Oryzias latipes: one gene and its partner. The main gene of each other region encodes a partner of the protein of the gene in region 2 in a complex. Links are inferred from orthologs where the notes say so. Each region holds a gene or a part of one and is shown on either strand. Other genes may lie near its edges.

Region 1 (3,817 bases), on a different chromosome or scaffold from region 2:
TGACATCATTTTTAAATGCCCAGCAATATTTTTGGAGCTGTTTTTATCACCCTCCACAAAAAATCAAAACAGAACAAGAAACAAAAACCTTCCAATTTGATTAAATCCAATAAGCAGAGTTACACAAGCAGAACTGCAGATACACTTCTTAATTTCACCAGTCCCAAGCATAGACGACCGACTGTTTGCTCCTAAATCCACATTTTTGCAAAAACATTAAGATTAAAGAAAAAAACATGGTAATGATTACAAAAAAAACTATTATTTTATTCAGTAATTTTTTTTGAGTGTTTGTAAACCCTATGAAATGAATTTGGCAGCCACAAGAAGGAAGACCTGAATTTTCTTTACTTTGCCCCTGTAGCACTGACAGGGAGGCCGTTAACATGCTAAAGCACAAAGAAATTCACCATGGAGAAATCCTTGAAAAGAGAGTAAAGACAGGCAAAATTTGGGAAGAGTATTAATACAAAACTGAATAAATAGAAAATTAATCAACAAAGAGAGATGTGTATTAAATATGCAAATGAGAAATATCCAGTTGAATTATTAAGCATTGATGTATTAACTGAGTGGAATCCTAATTGAGTGCTGAATGTTCTCATTTCATTATTTAAAAGTTTTGAATCCACCAGAGGGGGTAAAGGAAAGGTAACCATTCACACTGGAGCTTTGGAGGGTCTGAACCTTTGAGTCTAGAGAAATCTTTGGTGTATTCTGGTGGGAAATGTCTTCCATCTGTTCTGCATCGTAAAGTGACTCAAAGAAATTATTTAAAATGTTATATTTCTTCACCGAAGCTAAATATTGCATAAAAGTGCTTGAGCAAGAAAAATGTAAAGAGGTCCAAACAAGATGCTTTATGGGGAAAATGCCTATATTTAAAGCTATTAGTCAGGAAAACATCAAATAAATAGTATACTGCCAAAATGCTGCATAAATAAGGGATGAAAAAAAATGTGTTTTTATGATCAACATCTAACTGCATAGCTGTCAAAACAAACTGACTCCTCTCCCCTCTTTCCAAGCTTTCAAGTGGTTTGGCAATTTGAACTCTTTTTGGCGCTCCAATGACAAAAAAGCCTCCAAGTCCAGAGCCGGAGCAGGGGGTTTTCCTGGCCATGGGAGTGAGCATGGGGCTTCGGAGAGACTCAGTCCAGTTCCTAAAACGGTCCAGGATGACATGGAGGCCATGCGTCCTCGCACCGCCAGCTACATCCGCTCCACTGAAGACTATTCCCACATGTGCACGTTGCCCCGGCTGCTGAGTAAGAAGAAGGAAAAGGGTGATAAAGGTTAGCAGCAGAAATCACGAATGAACACAATCGTTCTTTAAAGACCTAAATTTAAACATTTATTTCTGAAAAATAATATATATTTTCTTCTCTTTGCCAGGAGATCTCAAGAAGAGCAGAGAAAAAAGCAACAACCAGAAGAAAAGCCAGAAGTCCTCAGGAGACCAGGGTTGTCCTCCTTCAACACCCACAGGAGTGCCGTGCAGAGTGGATGAGGAGGAAATACCTACTACAAACAGGATGGAGCTCAAATTGGAATCCCCACCTACCTCTAAAATACAGTCTGAGCCTGCAGGTGAAAGTACAGACCACAGCAATGCACCTGCACCGAGTCTCTGTGAAGATCTGCTGCCCCCTGGTGGTCTGACGGATAAAGTCCAATCAGAGGAAGAAGCTGCTTCAGCAGATCTGGACCAAGAAAGAGATGAAACTCAAGGAGGTGGATGCTCAGAAACCACGCCCCCTTCTCCTCCAAAGGAAGAGGACAGTAAAGAAGAGAAGAAACAGCATGACTCATTAAACCTAACCAGGTGAATTGAACTATTTTATTCACTTTTTAAACAAAGAAATTTAGTGTGGCATCTAACTGTTTTCCCCTGTGCTTCCCTTATCATGTATAAAGGTTAATTTACACAAACGTATTTAAGTAAATGTACTACATTTTATAAATGTACCTATTAACAGAGGTGCTTGAAAATTTCTTATAATTCTTTTACAAAATTAGTCATTAATTTTAACAGAATTGATAAAAATATAATCGAAAGGTTATTCTGATCAGAATGTGGGGCACAAATAAAAAATGTACATGAAATCGCTGTACATCAACAGTGCCAACTGGAGCATTTATAAGCCTGTAGTAAATTACAGTTCATCTCAATCTGGTTTAATGCATTATGTCATAATGTATACTCTGATTCCAATGTTTTCACATAATCATTATGATCCTAAAATTCAATTTTTTTTATTTTACAATATGAAATAAAAAAAACAACATGTTGCATCAAACTGCCACTTTAGTTCAATCTGTGAAATATTTATGAGGCTGTCAGACAAAGAGGAGAGAAGGAGCTAAAGCGAAAATGCTCTTTGTCCAGAAACTATCATTGTACTAATTTTTATATCCTGCATTTAAAATACAAAAATCTCAAAGGAGGTATAACAAATCTTTGCCTTATTTGCCATATTAATCTCCATGAAACAGCTTTTTGTAATTTTTTTGAGATAATTATGGACCCAAATCACTGTAGCTGATTTAGAAGATACATTTTCTGGACAAATCCAGATATTTTAACCTGCTAAAAACTTTGAAGAATTATTTTGGGCCCACAGGAAAGATTCCTCTCAGATGATGGGGATACAGTCAGCAGTTAACAGAATTCATTCCTCTACTTTTTTTTTAAAGGAGCTTAACATTGATTTCTTTTATCGATTATTTTCTGCAAGAAAACTGCTGCTTACTTGTGGGATGGATGATTTCACGTGGTATCTTTTTTCTATTTTTGGACACAAAGCACAAATGATTTATTAACAAAGTTATCAGACACAAGATGGAAAAGCAACCTCATTTTTCCCACACGTTCTTAGGAAAGCATGTTGTGTTTACTCATTTCTTTTGACATGCTAAAGGAAAATTGAGTTTTGTGTTGCATGTTTGTGTACATAGAACCATGCATATGTCTGTGACTGCAGCTCGGGGAGCACAAGAGATAAAGCTGTGTGGTGCTTGCTGCGGGTTACATGTAGACACAACAAAGAACTTCCCCCTTCTGTCAGTTCCACCATAAATCAGACTCTCAGCCTGTCCATCCATGTCCACAGTGCAGTTGTGCTCCTCTTTACCAGAGACTGTCTGAAACAGATCCTTGCAGCTCCTTGTTAGGCATTCTTGAATCTTTTTTGGTTTGGTTTAATCAAATCAAAAATTGTTTCACCACAAAAAAGTACCTTGCATGGTTTGTTTAATTTCAGCAAAACTGTCTAATGCTAATAATAAAAGATCATTTTGATGTTTCAGTTATAGATTTACATTTTTTAAGACTTTTTTTTTTTAAGCAAAAACCTCTGCTGGTTTTGTTAGTTTCTATTGATTTTCTAAGAGTGCTTTTCAGGTAAATATATCATTTTCTGGTCTGGGGAGCATTGGAACCTTTTCAGTTTAAGCATATATTGACATAATTTAATTTGCAAATAACAAAGATGGGATTTTTTTGCGTGGAATTTTTTCAAGCCCTTTTCAAGCTGCACTTCCCGGATAGCTGCACACTGCCGTAATGAGGTACTTTGATTTGACCTCTTTGTATGCGTGTGTAATACAACTTTGCTTTTGGCCCCATGAGGCAGAACATGCAGCTAAGAGTTGCCCAAGATCCCAATTAAGCATTTAGCTTTCTCTAGCTCTGGACTACAAAGGCTACACAGGAGTACCCCAGCAGGGCTTTGGGAACCGCTGCACAGTGGGGCTTTGACACATGATAGGGATCCTTCAAAAATGCTAAAGAGTGAGTTATGGTGCCAGAAACATT
Region 2 (4,393 bases):
TCTTTTGGGGTTTTTTTTTGTCCTATGAATACCTCTTTTTAAAGAAAAAGAAGATTGAACATTGCATTTAATTCACCAGCATTTCTATAGAGATCATCATCAGTGAGTATAAATGGGAGAATGAGACTGTAAAGCGCTTTGGGCCTTAAAGCAAGGTAGTAAACAGTGAAACATGATGGTGGCAGTATCATGCTTTAGGTTATTTTTTCAGCATCAGGGACATGTACAGAGGTATCTTGAGAGAAAACCTCTTCCAGAGTGATCAGGACCTCAGACAGAAGGTTCACCGTCCAATAAAACAATGACCCACAGCGCTCCACTAAGATAACAAAGGAGTGACTTCAGAACAAATCTGTGACTGTTCTAGACTGGTCCAGCCAGATCCCTGATCTATACCCAATTGAACATGTATGGAGAGACCTAAAAATGGCTGAACACCAACATTCACCATGTAATATGCAAGAAAGAAAGGCAGAGGATCCCCAAATCCAGGTGTGATAAACTTGTTGCATAATTTCCAAGAAGACTCATGGCTGTAGCAGCTAAAACGGAAGCTTCTACTCAATACTTAGACCATGTGACTTTTCAGTTTTTCTTTCTTGTTAATAGGCAGGAATTTCTACCTCTCTGATTTTTTCTATCAAGATAGTTCACTCAGTTTGGAGCCCCTAAAGTAATATAGAAGAAAAAAGATAGAACTGGAGAAATTCTGGTGAGCACCAGAAAGTAGGTCATGGACCAAAAAAACTCGTGTGCAGTACACTAGTTGATCAAAGCAAGTGAATCTCCAAAGCTGAAACAAACCCCATGACTTTAGAACTGGCTTTAGGCGATAACACAAAGGTGACGCCAGACAAGAAAAGCTGCAAGGTAACATAAAACTCAATAACTCATGTAATGATGACAGGGTGTGTCTTTATTGTGTAAATTCTGGGCTCCTTGTTCTGAACTGTGACGTCGTTCGTGGAAATTCTGAGGTCCTTGAACTCCTCACGGATGTCACTGCAGAACAGACAACAGGTGGGCACCTGGCATCAATCGGTTTTAATGAGAGACCAGGACGAGAAAGGAGGATAGAGAGGAGACCAGGACAGGGTTACCCGCCTCCCGGATCCATACTGCACCAGGAGAGGAGTGCGCGCAGTCTGAACCGGGAGAGGATGAAGAGGGGAATGACCCGTCCCCCGGAGAGAATGCGACACAGCGTCTGCTGTAATAAAGTCCTGGCAGGTTGGGCGGAACCAAGAGTGAGCCTCATTGCAGGACAACAACTGAGGATGCAGGGGGCGCCGCTGGATGACAACCGTCGTGGACAATGGCGACTGAATTGACTTAATTTCGTTGGAACCAGAAGCAAGGCATTTTTTTATGGGTGATGTCACACTCCCTCAGTCCAGTTCTCTATTATAGTCAATGGTCTAAAGGCGGAAAAGTCCTCACAGCACACTTTCTACACTGTTCTCAGACATGAACATTTTCATTCTTGTTTAAACTCTTAAAGTTCAAACCTTCCCAGAAAAATAAGTTAAGGACTATAAAATGAAAACAAAGATCTGATTACAATCATAGATTTATCCTCACAGTCAAACTGCATGTATAGAGAGACGGTACAGAGGAGATTGATTGATATGGACAACAGCCAATCAGAATGCAGTCAATGCCCTGCATAAAGACAAAGAAGGAAAAACTGCACTGAAAAAAATGTGAAAACGAAACGAAAAGTGAAGCGCAATATAGCGAGGGGACATGACAACTAACTCTGAAAAGTGGTCCTGTGCACAAATGACCACTTACTTTCTTCTGAGCAACAGATACTTTTTCATGCGCCTGAGAAACCAGTACTCTTTGCTTTCACTTGGATGTCCCTTCACGGGCTCCGTAAGTCAGCGCACATGACTGAGAATTGAAATGAACTTTCCTAATTTTGGCAAAAGGCTACAATGATGCAAAGAGTGAAAAATGTAACACTGTGACCACTGAATACTTTCCGTAGCCACTGTATGTTGAGCCAGTCCACCACTGAATCCCTCACAGGGAACGAACGCTTTAATGGAAAGTGAACATGAGTTTGGAATGACAGCAGCGAAGAAAATGGAACGCCAAACTGGCCGCATCCCATCGTATCTTCCTGTCAAACCTCTGCTGGCCAGGACCAGATTTTCTGTTTGGGAAAATCCCAGAACTATAGAAAGAAAGCAACATCCTTCTTCAAATGTCACAAATAGTGTCAATAAATCAATAAAGGTATAAATATCATATCTACCTTTGACAAATCAGTGTCCGATCTGCTCCAATTTACGTCACAGCAGAAATGAACAGGCACTTTTTTTACCTTCTTGTTTAAATTTACTTTAAGAGGTACATTTTTTTTGCCAACTCTATTTATTTTTCATTGGAGATGAAAGCAAATGTGCAAAACAATGTTTTTAGTGGCTTTAGACCAGTAGACCACAGGACTGAAAAACACATCCACAAAGTGTAAACTAACAGAGTGTTCTCATTTCCTAAATGTTTAAGACAATCCTAATTTTTGTGAAGACTACAGTTTCTGAAGACCCTGATAAAGCCTGATTGGTTTCTTGTTTCAACCTTAAAACGTACACATTATGTCTCCCTTATGTTGGCGTGATTACTGGAAACACGACCATAACCTTCACATAACGTTGCTTTCACAGAGATGTAGAGCAGCCCACTGATCAAACTAAAGAACCGCTTGGCGATGGAATGCAGAAGCACTGGAAAAGACGTCGCTGGAACTCTGTTGGGTGGAAAAACCCTCGAGTTCCAGCAGAACTTCTTACCTGATCGCACTGCATGCCAAAGAAATGTTAGCAGACCCCTGCAGCTAACATGATCAGTTGTTTCAGCGCAGAGAATACTGACGAACCAAATTATGCCCGACGTTTGTTGCGGCTTCTAGGTTGTTCAGAAGCAAAAGCCCTCTGTATCTGGCTTCATCGTTTCTTCCCCCACTGCTCCTGCCTGTCTTGACATGTCAGTTCTTAAGAAACAGTATCGTGCGCACATTTAATATGCAGACAGAAACCTCTACCCACGGCATTTACCTGGAGCTGCAATGGTCATTCTCTTCGCCTGAACAGAAATCAGTTCAGCATTTTTGCACCAACACCATTTCATGTTAAATGAAAAACTCTGTACAGCGTTTTCAACTCAGACTGTCACAAACTGAGAACGAAAAGACTTCAGTAGAAAAAGCATCATGTAGTTTATGAAGAAAGTGAGGGAAAATGTTTGTAAAAGAAAAAAAGCATCTGGGTTTTCCCTGAAGGATTAGCTTACTTGAAGTCTTCATGTTCGTTCTTTTCTTCTTTATGTTTATCAGCTGCTAAATATTCATGTCTCATGGAATTGTTAGGAAAGCCCATACATTTTCCAGGTGAACCTACATGTGTTGGACCTGAAGCAGGTGTGTTGCAACGCTACGCCGCACCAAACACTTCAAAATCAGGGTTTTATTTGCAGCGCCAGCTATTTAGTTATGTTTTGGCAAGGGATGATTCCTGCAGAAAAATTCCTGCTGTAGGCCGTGACTAACAGGAGTAACAACAGCAGGGATTATGTAGCCTGGAGCATAGGGCAGACTGCTGTGGGAGGGGCCTGGTGTTGCTCAACCTGCTTTGGTAAAAACTCACAAATAGCTGCCTGAGGGATGAAAAAATACAGTGGATGACTGGTTCAAAGCACCTCGCCCTTCTGCACAGCAGGGAGAATCAAACCATCAGAAGCACACAAAGCTGGTTTTCAGTCCAATAAAAACTGGATTAGCTATCCTGCCTTCAGCCTGCTGCTCCTGCTCTGTTTGCCCTTCGTGTAGCTGCTTTAAAGCCCCTAGTGGTGGTTTCTGTGCGAGAAAAGGTTCCTATTTACAGGACAAGTTTTAAGGTTTGAAGGATCAAAACAAAGAGAAATGATTATGTGGCGTTCATGAGATGCTCCACAGAGCAGGCAGTGTTTATGAGCTTTCCTAACCTACACTTACAAAGGCAGCAGAGGCCTGAGCTTAAGCCTGCTCACACACTTCTTTGACGGGCGTGGATGAGTGTGTGGTGCGGAGCTGCTATACTGTCAGCTCTAAGCACACCCATGATCCACAAAGATGTCTTCTTCACCCTGTAATCCATCCCTGAACAAAGCAGAAGTTACCCGCAGTTCTTCGGTGATGCTCTGTGTCCTCAGCAGAGCTGTGAAAACAAAGCCCCCCCCCGGACCACTCTCAGTAATCCAAGGAAGCTGCAGCTGAGCCGTCACTGTGACTCATGGGTTGTTGTTTGTGAGTTCACTGTACTGAGACCATAGGCAATCATAGGCACACACGAGCTCTACCTGAGGAGGAGGAGGAGGAGCATGTGGGATAACAAAAAGAGAGTTCATT

Evidence for each region.
Region 1: the proteins of bcar1 (region 2) and sh2d3c are in contact, whole or in part, in a crystal structure (PDB 3T6G), measured with the Homo sapiens proteins. The link is inferred for Oryzias latipes from reciprocal best matches to the Homo sapiens genes BCAR1 and SH2D3C. Residues at the interface, in NP_055382.2 of Homo sapiens: Ser739, Gln742, Phe746, Tyr747, Gln750, Asn754, Val779, Ser782, Lys783, Ile786, Leu787, His790, Val793, Phe794, Ile795, Asp797, Thr798, Arg801, Gln802, Ser816, Asn817, Cys820, Leu823, Arg824, Val827, Lys831; in NP_733745.1 of Homo sapiens: Thr543, Val544, Pro545, Val547, Gly616, Val617, Arg618, Glu622, Thr625, Leu626, Pro627, His628, Leu749, Leu752, Leu753, His771, Gly772, Val773, Glu774, Val776, Leu777, Leu780, Glu781, Ala783, Arg784, Ala787, His788.

What each region holds. Positions count from the first base shown.
Region 1 is NC_019870.2:15,523,026-15,526,842, forward strand, and holds part of sh2d3c (SH2 domain-containing protein 3C), read left to right. Parts: intron 1-1,028; coding exon 1,029-1,295; intron 1,296-1,395; coding exon 1,396-1,825; intron 1,826-3,817. UniProt on the Homo sapiens protein: Acts as an adapter protein that mediates cell signaling pathways involved in cellular functions such as cell adhesion and migration, tissue organization, and the regulation of the immune response.
Region 2 is NC_019864.2:4,911,821-4,916,213, reverse strand, and holds the start of bcar1 (breast cancer anti-estrogen resistance protein 1), read right to left. Parts: upstream 2,930-4,393; 5' UTR 2,817-2,929; coding exon 2,802-2,816; intron 1-2,801. UniProt on the Homo sapiens protein: Docking protein which plays a central coordinating role for tyrosine kinase-based signaling related to cell adhesion. Implicated in induction of cell migration and cell branching. Involved in the BCAR3-mediated inhibition of TGFB signaling.